2 linked regions of the Arabidopsis thaliana genome follow. The protein of the gene in region 1 purifies or fractionates together with the protein of each later gene. This does not show direct contact. Each region holds a gene or a part of one and is shown on either strand. Other genes may lie near its edges.

Region 1 (4,866 bases):
ACGAAGGAAAGAGTACAAAAAGAGAAGGAAAAGATAGAAGATATATGTTTTTAACTTCATTGGTATGACATCAATAAATAAATAGTTGAATGTACTTTAGTTTCTCTTTTGGTTTAATGCACATCATCTCGATCAATTGTCATCATCTTACATTGAATTATACGACCAGATCTGATAACAAGTGAATTCGTACTTGCCCTTCCCTTTCTTCTCATACGTCCTTCTAACTAATTTTGATTGTAACTTATAATTATATAACCATATTTAATTTTATTTTATCTAAAACCAATTGAAGCAAATTAAAATATCATAAATCTTGAGTCCCACATGAAGACAATATATAAAACTCGTGCAAATTTGCTTAAAATGCTTCTATGAGACCATGACCAAGTGAGATTAATAAGCGATTCAATGTGCAAATCAAAAGAGAAAAGAAGCTAATGGGTTTAAATATAACCAAACAGAATAATAATGCTATGTTTAGTTTTTCTAATTGAATCATACCTTTGTGTCCATCACCTACTTACCGGTCAGAATAAAGCAATTACGTCTGCAACCAAAAAGCACTAAGACTTTCGGTCAGACATGATCTCTAACATCGGACGAACCCTAAGATAACCAAAATAAACTATATCTTATATTCAAATCTCTGTTTATTTTATCCATTTATGTTTTCTTTCTTTCCCATAATTTTTTTTGTGTCTCATCAGACTCTCTTACCAAACTGAATTTATCAACATGGTTTTTTTTTTGGCCACATCAAAATGGTGGTTTATAAAGTAGACTAATACAAAAGACATTTCTGTTAATTTCACTAACAAAAATAATCTTAGCAGTACTATAGATTGGAAAAGGAAAAGCAAATCTAGCAGTAAGATTTATCAAAACTAGCAGTAAGAGTTTTAGATATCATGAAAACATCACAAACGAGTAGTGTTTTACTTTACATTTTTAACCAATCACAAGGGTAGTTCCGTAAGTTGGGAAAATCGTACGAGGCTTCACCTAGTTAAGGTTAGGTCACATGATTCCCTGAACTCGATTTTATAAGTAAAAAAGAAAAATTTATAAAATCAAAATTTTTTATATAAAAAAATCAGGTGGATTTATCAGACCCTACCATCGAGATGTCGACACGTGTCCAAACTCATTCATTGCCCTACTATTTTCTGTTTAGGGTTGCAATCACTCATCGCACACGCGCCATCTCCACCTTCCATTATTAATCTCTCATTTTCAACATCACACTCTTACGAATCATACGATTTTAATATCTCTGTCTCTCTCAACGTATTAAATAAAAATGGTTTTAAATGTTAGGGTTTTTTGTAGGATTTTCAATTATTAATCTCTATAATTCGATGAACTAAGTAAAAAAGCATCAAACTTTCTTGGCAGAATCACATTTTTCTCTAAACTAAATATGGACTGAAATTGAAAAATTAAACCACTAGCTAGAATAAAGTGTTGGTGAGAGTGGAACTCTAATTTCTCTCCTTTACTAATTATGTATAAACACAAAAATGCACCAAATTTTTAGGTTTGAAAATATCTAAGCATGGATAGGGTAATTAACATTTTTTCTTTCAATTTTGCAATATTTGAATAAATCCTATGAGGGTCTTTGGTACACAATAATTGGAGGGTATATAGTTGAGTCTGAGAGTATATTAGAAAGAGAATATTTCAAGTAATGAAGCTGACATGTTTATATGTACTTTGAGAGAAGTGTTGTGAGATTTGTACAAATGTATATGTACACTTTAAAAAGCAATATAAGATAGATAAAAAAAATATAAAGAAAAAAAGAAAGAAAGAAAGAAAGAAAGAGAGAGGCTCATATATATATAGAATTGCTTGCAAGGAAAGAGAGAGAGAGAGATTGAGATATCTTTTGGGAGAGGAGAAAGAAAAAGAAAATGGGAAGAGGGAGAGTAGAATTGAAGAGGATAGAGAACAAGATCAATAGGCAAGTGACGTTTGCAAAGAGAAGGAATGGTCTTTTGAAGAAAGCATACGAGCTTTCAGTTCTATGTGATGCAGAAGTTGCTCTCATCATCTTCTCAAATAGAGGAAAGCTGTACGAGTTTTGCAGTAGTTCGAGGTATATATCTACTTTTGTATATATATTACTTATAACATAAACATTTTATATACATATTAAGTAACACAAAAATGTCTTGTATGTATGGGTCTCTCTGTGATGTGTTGTTGTGTCGTACGTACGTGTTCTATCATATCCTTTTAAAAGAAGCAAAGAGGAAAAAAAATTTGGGATACCCCAAATCTGTATCATTTTATAACAAGTTTGCTTTTTTGATGTTCTTTTGTGTTTCTCTTTGATTTCCATTTTTGTTTTTGATTTTTTTTCTATTTCTCTTTACATCTATCAAAGTTTTTTTTCTTATATTTTATTGCTTATTTGTTTGTCTACTTAATTCACATTATCTGAGAGAAGAACAATCTATCTGATATGAAATTAGGGTTAATTTCTCTTGTGAGTACTCTTTAATTCACATAAGCTTAAAGTTTCCACCTTTTGATTCTGGGGGTCGTCCAATTCGATCAAATCACTCAATTTTGTTGTCAGATTGATATAAGTTCATAGGGGGATATTGTTTCCACGACAATCCATTTTAGTAACCCTTAGGGGTTTCCAATTTTGGGTTTTGAATTGACGCTAATGTCAAATTCATCTAAAGTCCGTTGGATATGTATACTTGGGGATGGGATTCATCCTTTTTTCTGGGTTCTTTAGATCTTCTCTTAAAAGACTAACAGATTTTGTTGTAAACCCTAGGAAACAGTTAAAAATCCCATTTTTAAAAACATGTTTTGAACTTGATGAGTAAGATTAATGGAAGAAATGATGTTTTTGTGTGGTGTGAAGCATGCTTCGGACACTGGAGAGGTACCAAAAGTGTAACTATGGAGCACCAGAACCCAATGTGCCTTCAAGAGAGGCCTTAGCAGTTGTACCCAATTCTCTTCTCTTTCTTCTAATTACCTTAATTAATTACTCTCAATTTTTACTTTGATTTTTAGAGTCAAATGATTAATGTTATAATTTGTCATATACTTCAGGAACTTAGTAGCCAGCAGGAGTATCTCAAGCTTAAGGAGCGTTATGACGCCTTACAGAGAACCCAAAGGTAAACTAATTAGCTTCTTCAGCTACCTTCAGAGAGTGTTTGTTTTTTTAGTAGATTTTTTTGATGGTTTTGATGTTGAAATAGGAATCTGTTGGGAGAAGATCTTGGACCTCTAAGTACAAAGGAGCTTGAGTCACTTGAGAGACAGCTTGATTCTTCCTTGAAGCAGATCAGAGCTCTCAGGGTACTACTTTGTTCATCAATATCTTTATACACTGATCTATTTCCATAGTAAGATTAAATTTGGTGTTTAATTCTGCAGACACAGTTTATGCTTGACCAGCTCAACGATCTTCAGAGTAAGGTAAATAAAGAAACACTCATTCTCCTCTCTAAATTCCTCATCTAAAAGTAATGTAACCAAGAAAACACAAATATTTGGAGCAGGAACGCATGCTGACTGAGACAAATAAAACTCTAAGACTAAGGGTAATTAATATACATTCTCATATCACCAAATTAATGCATCACTAAATTTGGTTATAATGTGTGTGTGTATATACATATGTGACAGTTAGCTGATGGGTATCAGATGCCACTCCAGCTGAACCCTAACCAAGAAGAGGTTGATCACTACGGTCGTCATCATCATCAACAACAACAACACTCCCAAGCTTTCTTCCAGCCTTTGGAATGTGAACCCATTCTTCAGATCGGGTAACTTTAGACTAGTATAACCAATTTGATTTGAGTTCTATTATAAGCTTTTCTTAAGAAAGTATCTCAAACTACTAAATTTTATGGAGCAGGTATCAGGGGCAACAAGATGGAATGGGAGCAGGACCAAGTGTGAATAATTACATGTTGGGTTGGTTACCTTATGACACCAACTCTATTTGAATCTTTCTCACTTAATCAATCCCTCTCTTTTTTTTTTGACATTTTTAAGATGATGTTTCTATTTTATTACCTCTCTCATGTTTTCTGTCTTGTGTGCATGTGTGTGTGTAATGTTTATGCCCTTCTATTATTCAATAATTTTTTCGACAATTTTGCTTCCTATTTTTACCCATTACTCCTAAACTTCCTGATCCAGTTTCTTTTAAAATAACTCCCATTTTATGCATGTTATCTAACCAATTCTCTTAACTATGATTTATGGTACGATATAACTCACAGTCTCACACTATCTATTTGGTGTTTTTTTGTTTGAGTCTTGAGAAGGGACCGCTTGTTTATCTCTCTTGTTAAAGAGCAACTCACTGGCCACTGCTTATGTATCTGTAGGCCCCACCTATATCATTTTGGCTATATCTATACTTTTGTAGAGGGAGTATTACTATAGAGAAGAAGATAAATTTGGTTCTAATATATCTTGCAGGTAGTTGATATTCTCAATTATCATGAAGATTTGATAGACAAGTTTATCAGATACCTTAAACATAGGTTTAAGATCTCAATTGAAATGTGAATTCACCCGACGATTAGAGTTACGATCTAAGGAAGCGTTTCTTGAATTTTGAGTTTGTTTGATCAAGAGTAGAATGCTTTTCTATTACTAAGGTTGTTAATGCTTATATTCCATGACCAAGGCCAAGAGAACAAACAAAAACATGGTGCCTCTTGATGTATAGTAATGGCTCTTAATGGTCATATACAGAGAAAAAAAGATTAATGTCGTTGCACAAGCTTGAAGTTACTTACTCCTCGTCTTCCTCATTAGTGTCTTCGTCTTCCTCATCCTCATCGCTCCCAATATAGGGCTTCATCTACT
Region 2 (7,842 bases), on another chromosome or scaffold:
TAAAAACAGAGCTGGCTCTCAATAATGTTATTTTCCGTCGGCCTTTTATATCTCTTCCTATCTTGTCTCTTCATCTGCATTGTGACCCTGCTATTGTTGATGACTTTACTACGCCTGTATTTCTCTTCCTATCTTGTCTCTTCATCTGCATTGTGACCCTGCTATTGTTGATGACTTTACTACGCCTGAACCGAAAGGTTCTCCGTGAGATGGACCTTTAAATCATACAATGACTACAGTGGTTTTGAGTTTTTTGATTATGCAGGACTGCGGACAGCCTGGATTTACACCATCTGAGAGAGGACGCTTCGGGGCAACTATAAAAGAGTATGCGTAATATGTCTTTGCACTGCGAAGTCTTAGTAGTAGTACTTTCTAGAATACAGATTAGAGTTACTAAACATGTGATTATAAATTATATTTATGGGAACTGTTACAGAGGAAGGCTTGTTGATGCATACCGGTATCTACACAAGGAGCAAGAAATGGAAAGTGGCTTCTCATGGTCGGGGAATCCCATTGGAAAGTGAGTGGATACTACACATTTTAGTTTTATGGCTTGGAGTCCAGAACCTCCGCATGTTTCTAAAGCTATATATTGATTTTTTGTTTTGGTTGCCATAGGTACCGGGGAAAGAGGATGAGGATCGACTATTTTCTGGTCTCTGAACAACTCAAAGACCGTATAGTTTCTTGTAAGATGCACGGTCGTGGGATAGAACTTGAAGGTGCCATAGATAAACCTGTTCATCACACAGATTCATAGAAGATTATTATTAGCTCTTTTTGCAACAATTTGGTTCTTGATTTGTTTCAGGTTTCCATGGGAGTGATCATTGTCCGGTTACACTCGAGCTTTCGAAGCCATCTTCAGAAATGGAACAGAACCAGGTGTCAAACTAAAATCATCTTCTTCTGTATTAGAACATAAGGCCTTCTTAGGAACAAGCCAAAGCTTATTTTATCAGAGAATTTAATTTTTACTTTGCCGAGAGATGCATTGAAGATTTGATTGAGGTTATTGAGACACTTATTTAGCCTTGTTACTCTGATGAACTCTCAAATGTACTTATAATTATTGTTGTGCTTATCTTAATATGTTTTATTTTCCTAAGAAATGTTGATATTTTTAATTGTGAATCTTCTTCATTTAATTATTTTTATTTATTAACTTTTGAGTCATTTCTAAAGATTTAGAGCTTTTGTTGGTGTATTTTAAGCATATTATACCCTTTGCTTTATTGTCTTAGTCAGTAGGTAGAGGCAACATTCGTTAAACCAATGGCTCATTCAAATTCTTTTTTTTGGGCTCATTCATATTCATAAAAATCAAATTTGGATTCAGCATAACAAACACAATAATATATGTAGACATTTATATCATACATTAATTTCTACTAATTTCATGAACTACCAAAGACTAAAAATGTTTAATGAGAAATATCTTTTTTAAAACCATCAAAAATTTTACTCTTAAAATTGGGATTTATGTTTGGTTTTAAAAAGGAGTTTTTGAATGTGCAAACGGATTTACAGAGAGGACAACAACAAATGTGTGTTAGAAATGGCAGAATCGTAAATAATAAGAAAATCATACCCTTTTAAAAACCATTTCTCTCTCTAACTAAGTGTTCTTTACTTGTTTTAATACAGAGATATCACAATCTCTTGCTCTGCCCAAACCCATCCCAACCCCCTAAAAAAAATACAATTTTTTCCTCTGTTTCTTTAATCCAATAAAAACAGAGAGACCTAAGAAACGAGATCAACAAAGCCCGTCGTTTTTTTCGAGGAAAAGTGAATGACCCTTTAAGAAAATAACTCTATTGGCCGGAGAAATGGTGGAGACTCGTCGATTCTCTTAAAGTTTGTTTTTTTTTCCTCTCTTCAAAATTTTTGTTCTGTTTATACTCTGTAATGGCGTTTTAATTTGATACCTAGAAGTTAAAGTGAACAAATTTTGAGAGAAAGTCTCTTTTTTTTGTTCTTCCCTGTGTGTGTGAGAGAGAGAGAGAGATATGGCGGTTTCAGAGCAGAGTCAAGATGTGTTTCCATGGCTTAAATCGTTACCGGTTGCTCCAGAGTTCAGACCTACTCTAGCAGAGTTTCAAGATCCGATCGCTTACATTTTGAAGATTGAAGAAGAAGCTTCTAGATATGGAATCTGTAAAATTCTGCCTCCACTGCCTCCTCCTTCCAAAAAAACCTCGATTTCTAATCTCAACCGTTCTCTGGCGGCAAGAGCGGCGGCGAGGGTTCGTGACGGCGGCTTTGGCGCGTGTGATTATGACGGTGGTCCCACATTCGCCACGCGCCAGCAGCAGATCGGGTTTTGCCCTAGGAAACAGCGTCCAGTGCAGAGACCTGTGTGGCAGAGTGGAGAGGAGTACTCTTTTGGTGAGTTCGAGTTTAAAGCTAAGAACTTTGAGAAGAATTATCTCAAGAAATGTGGTAAAAAGAGTCAACTCTCTGCCCTTGAAATTGAAACACTTTACTGGAGAGCCACTGTGGATAAACCCTTCTCTGTTGAGTATGCCAATGACATGCCTGGCTCGGCTTTTATCCCTCTGAGTCTGGCTGCTGCGAGGAGGAGAGAGTCTGGTGGTGAAGGAGGAACAGTTGGTGAGACCGCTTGGAACATGAGGGCAATGTCTAGAGCCGAAGGATCATTGCTTAAGTTCATGAAGGAAGAGATCCCTGGAGTTACATCACCAATGGTGTATGTTGCTATGATGTTTAGTTGGTTTGCTTGGCATGTGGAGGACCATGACCTTCATAGTCTCAATTACTTGCATATGGGTGCTGGTAAGACTTGGTACGGTGTGCCAAAGGATGCTGCTCTGGCTTTTGAGGAGGTTGTTAGGGTTCATGGTTACGGTGAAGAGCTCAATCCTCTTGGTGAGTATGATAAGTGTTATGTGTTAGTGACTCATAGTTACTCAATGTATCAATTCATTGTTCTGATTGTTGGCTTTGTTGTGTCTCTGTTCTTTTTGTTGCTTTTAAATGCTTTTCTTTCCCTCCAAAAGTTGTCAGGGGTAGAAGCTGTATGCAAGCAAACTAATTGGTTATGCCTCTTACGTTCTTGTCTTATTAGTGACATTTTCTACTCTTGGTGAGAAGACAACTGTGATGTCTCCTGAAGTATTTGTTAAAGCCGGAATACCGTGTTGCAGGTAATGGTTTTTTATGTTTGTGCTCTGTTTATCTCATCATCTTGTTGTTTGCATGTCTCTTCTTTGGTCTCTTATAATTGGCACACTTTTTCTTCTTCTGGTTTTTCACGCAAGTGGTTTTTTTGTATCAGGTTAGTGCAAAATCCTGGAGAGTTTGTCGTCACCTTTCCGGGAGCTTATCATTCGGGATTTAGTCATGGTGAGTAAGCGACCTATATTTAGTATCTTTAAGTCAACCATTCAAAGGCCTAGTATGTTGAAATAACTTATATTATCCATAAAAACAATCGTGGGGGTTGTACAGGATTTAATTTTGGAGAAGCATCTAACATTGCCACTCCCGAATGGTTGAGAATGGCTAAAGATGCTGCTATCCGGCGAGCTGCTATAAATTACCCTCCAATGGTTTCTCATCTCCAGCTACTTTATGACTTTGTATTGGCTCTAGGTTCTAGGTACTCTTTCTTTTCTATAGACACACTCAAACTTTTTAAGCTGCTTGAAGGGCTCATATAAGGTATGTTTCACTCATTGCAGAGTGCCAACAAGCATCAATCCCAAACCACGGAGTTCTAGATTAAAAGATAAGGCAAGAAGCGAAGGAGAAAGATTGACCAAAAAGCTATTTGTGCAAAACATTATCCACAACAACGAATTGCTTTCTTCTCTCGGAAAAGGATCCCCAGTGGCCCTTCTCCCACAGAGTTCCTCAGATATATCAGTTTGTTCTGACCTGCGAATTGGATCCCATTTGATAACCAACCAGGAAAACCCAATCCAGTTAAAGTGTGAGGACTTAAGTTCTGATAGTGTTGTGGTTGATCTCAGTAACGGTTTAAAGGATACAGTTTCAGTGAAAGAAAAATTTACATCTTTATGTGAAAGGAGCAGAAATCACCTAGCAAGCACGGAGAAGGACACTCAAGAAACTCTGTCTGATGCTGAAAGGAGGAAGAATGATGCAGCTGTTGCGCTTTCGGATCAAAGGCTTTTCTCTTGTGTTACATGTGGAGTCTTAAGCTTTGATTGTGTAGCTATCGTTCAACCTAAAGAAGCAGCTGCTAGATATCTCATGTCTGCAGATTGTAGCTTCTTCAATGATTGGACAGCTGCTTCTGGATCTGCAAATCTTGGTCAGGCTGCAAGATCACTTCATCCTCGTAAGTTACAGGTCGCACTTTCGGTTATTGGCTGTTATTTAGCATTTACTAACTTTTTTTCATCATGCAGAAAGCAAAGAGAAGCATGATGTAAATTACTTCTACAATGTTCCTGTTCAAACTATGGATCATTCAGTGAAGACTGGCGATCAAAAAACTTCAACAACTTCCCCGACAATAGCGCATAAAGATAATGATGTTCTTGGGATGTTAGCTTCAGCATATGGAGACTCTTCTGATTCCGAGGAAGAAGATCAAAAAGGCTTAGTTACCCCTAGTTCCAAAGGGGAAACAAAAACGTATGATCAAGAAGGTTCAGATGGCCATGAGGAGGCTAGAGATGGTAGAACTTCTGATTTTAACTGCCAGAGACTAACCAGCGAACAGAATGGGTTAAGCAAAGGCGGAAAATCATCACTTCTGGAAATAGCTTTACCATTTATTCCAAGATCTGATGACGATTCATGTCGGTTGCACGTGTTTTGTCTTGAGCATGCTGCGGAAGTGGAACAGCAACTTCGTCCTTTTGGGGGGATTAACTTAATGTTACTGTGCCATCCAGGTAACATCAAAACTACAAGATTCATTTTATTAGTATTTCTGTATCAGTTATGCAATTCTTTAGTCTTTTTCATCATTTTGACGCACAACATTTGCAGAGTACCCCAGGATAGAGGCTGAAGCAAAGATAGTTGCCGAAGAGCTCGTCATCAATCACGAATGGAATGATACTGAATTCAGGAATGTGACCCGAGAGGATGAGGAAACGATTCAGGCAGCGTTGGATAATGTTGAAGCTAAGGGTGGGAACAGTGATTGGACCGTAAAATTGGGTGTTAACCTTTCTTACAGCGCTATTCTCAGTCGCTCTCCTCTGTACAGTAAGCAGATGCCGTATAACTCCATCATATACAAGGCGTTCGGTCGCAGCTCTCCAGTAGCGAGCTCACCCTCGAAACCCAAAGTCTCTGGTAAAAGATCGTCCAGACAGAGGAAATATGTTGTTGGAAAATGGTGTGGTAAGGTTTGGATGTCACATCAGGTACTATTGTCTAACCTGAATCCATACTAATTCAGACATTAGTACACTTCTGTTTGGTTCAATTTGCTTTTCTTTCTTCAGGTGCATCCCTTTTTGCTGGAGCAGGACTTAGAGGGGGAAGAATCTGAAAGAAGTTGTCATCTTCGAGTTGCTATGGATGAGGATGCCACTGGAAAGAGATCGTTTCCTAATAATGTTTCCAGGGATTCGACAACAATGTTTGGAAGAAAGTATTGTAGGAAGAGAAAGATAAGAGCAAAGGCGGTGCCACGCAAGAAGCTTACTTCTTTTAAGAGGGAAGATGGAGTTTCTGATGACACATCAGAAGATCATTCTTATAAGCAGCAATGGAGGGCTTCCGGGAATGAGGAAGAGTCTTATTTTGAGACAGGGAACACAGCTTCTGGTGATTCATCAAATCAAATGTCTGATCCGCACAAGGGAATTATCAGACATAAAGGTTATAAAGAATTTGAGTCAGATGATGAGGTTTCAGACCGTTCACTTGGGGAAGAGTATACTGTACGGGCATGTGCAGCTTCAGAGAGCTCAATGGAGAATGGCTCTCAGCATTCAATGTATGACCATGATGATGATGATGATGATATCGACAGGCAGCCTAGGGGGATTCCAAGGAGCCAACAGACAAGAGTTTTTAGGAATCCAGTTTCATATGAGTCAGAAGATAATGGCGTTTATCAGCAAAGCGGAAGAATATCCATAAGTAATAGGCAAGCTAATCGAATGGTTGGTGAATATGATTCAGCAGAGAATTCTTTGGAGGAACGAGGCTTTTGCAGTACAGGGAAAAGGCAAACCAGGTCAACAGCCAAACGAATAGCAAAAACCAAGACAGTTCAGAGTTCGAGAGACACAAAAGGTCGCTTTTTGCAAGAATTTGCATCTGGAAAGAAGAATGAAGAATTGGATTCATACATGGAGGGACCTAGCACACGGCTTAGGGTGAGACATCAGAAGCCGTCGAGAGGGTCTTTAGAAACAAAACCAAAGAAGATTGGTAAGAAGAGAAGTGGTAATGCTTCCTTCTCCAGAGTTGCAACTGAAAAAGATGTGGAGGAAAAAGAAGAAGAAGAAGAAGAAGAAGAGAATGAGGAAGAGGAATGTGCAGCATACCAATGTAACATGGAGGGTTGCACGATGAGTTTCAGTTCGGAAAAACAGTTGATGTTACACAAAAGAAACATATGCCCAATTAAAGGCTGTGGTAAAAACTTCTTCTCACACAAGTATTTGGTTCAACACCAGCGTGTTCACTCAGACGACCGTCCTCTGAAATGTCCATGGAAGGGATGTAAGATGACGTTCAAGTGGGCTTGGTCTAGAACCGAGCACATAAGGGTTCACACAGGCGCTAGGCCTTATGTTTGCGCTGAACCGGATTGTGGTCAAACATTCAGGTTTGTCTCTGACTTCAGCCGGCATAAAAGGAAGACCGGTCATTCGGTTAAGAAGACCAACAAAAGGTGATTTAGGCTCTAACATGGAATCTATCATGAAGAAGATTACTCCATTGATCTATTAGAAGAAAATTGGATTGTACGAATATTAGGGGTTTTCTAAGTGTGTATGTCTCTCTGGTCCTCTGTCAATTCGGGATTATAAAGTCAAAGTCTTAACATTTGGAATAGCCATTGTTTGTTGCAGACGTTTTCACTTTCAGACAGATTCTCTCTTTGTTGTATTCTCTATTTTTGCAGTTGAATGAATCTGTAACAACAACAAATCCTGGTGTAGGAAAAGCATTGTGTTACTCAAGTATTTGACATATATGGTTGTATACGTGGCTTATCCTGGTTGGTTGACAGTCAGAGTTCATCGCCGTGGACTTCATTTGACTTTGATAAAGACTCAAACCTACCAAATTGCTAATGAATGACATTACCTGTGTCAACTAGGATGTAAAACTCTCTGACTTCAGCACACGGCACAAACGAAAGACCAAATGACTTAACATTTGGAATTGCCATTGTTTGTTGCATAAAGATTCATCTCTTTGTTGTGTTCTCTCTCGTCTTCTTCAGTTAGTCTATAATAACAATCCTGGTGTAGAGAGAGACTTTGATTTGATAAATAAAGGAGCTGCTTGTACAATTAAAAGCTATGTTGCATAATTATGAAATATCAAAATACGATAAGGACTTAGTTGCAATTCTCAAAGAAATATCTGAAACGCATAATTTTAAGTTAAAAAAGTGTGCATGAAATGTGAACTATTGGACCTTGTCAACAAATTAAAGCAACGGTTTCTTTGAGATTCTCATTCGTGACGCTATAAACGACAAATGTAATAAAGTATCCATAAAGGAAACAACTTTATTCTTCTTCTTCCACCCTTTGATCTTCTTCTTCAATTACCTCCCTGAAAATTAGGGTTTTTGTAATGTGATTTCGTAAGAAACCAAAAAAAAAAAAATGGTCAATTCCGAAGAAATTGCAGATGGGT

What was found.
Region 2: the proteins of SEP3 (region 1) and REF6 purify together in Arabidopsis thaliana (affinity purification with mass spectrometry, with the first as the bait; one study listed by BioGRID). This does not show direct contact.

What each region holds. Positions count from the first base shown.
Region 1 is NC_003070.9:8,592,916-8,597,781, reverse strand, and holds SEP3 (K-box region and MADS-box transcription factor family protein), read left to right. Parts: upstream 1-1,683; 5' UTR 1,684-1,919; coding exon 1,920-2,104; intron 2,105-2,890; coding exon 2,891-2,975; intron 2,976-3,084; coding exon 3,085-3,152; intron 3,153-3,236; coding exon 3,237-3,336; intron 3,337-3,414; coding exon 3,415-3,456; intron 3,457-3,539; coding exon 3,540-3,581; intron 3,582-3,666; coding exon 3,667-3,809; intron 3,810-3,901; coding exon 3,902-3,992; 3' UTR 3,993-4,206; downstream 4,207-4,866. Other genes in the region: AT1G24256 (uncharacterized protein), read right to left, coding at 4,793-4,861. UniProt on the Arabidopsis thaliana protein: Probable transcription factor active in inflorescence development and floral organogenesis.
Region 2 is NC_003074.8:17,933,591-17,941,432, forward strand, and holds REF6 (relative of early flowering 6), read left to right. Parts: upstream 1-1,665; 5' UTR 1,666-2,018; coding exon 2,019-2,898; intron 2,899-3,097; coding exon 3,098-3,176; intron 3,177-3,307; coding exon 3,308-3,375; intron 3,376-3,456; exon of another isoform or gene 3,457-3,480; coding exon 3,481-3,631; intron 3,632-3,713; coding exon 3,714-4,336; intron 4,337-4,406; coding exon 4,407-4,898; intron 4,899-4,995; coding exon 4,996-5,378; intron 5,379-5,459; coding exon 5,460-6,866; 3' UTR 6,867-7,202; downstream 7,203-7,842. Other genes in the region: AT3G48425 (DNAse I-like superfamily protein), read left to right, coding at 266-327, 440-526, 625-728, 818-903; AT3G48440 (Zinc finger C-x8-C-x5-C-x3-H type family protein), read left to right, coding at 7,812-7,842. UniProt on the Arabidopsis thaliana protein: Histone demethylase that demethylates 'Lys-27' (H3K27me) of histone H3, thus acting as a positive regulator of gene expression. Demethylates both tri- (H3K27me3) and di-methylated (H3K27me2) H3K27me.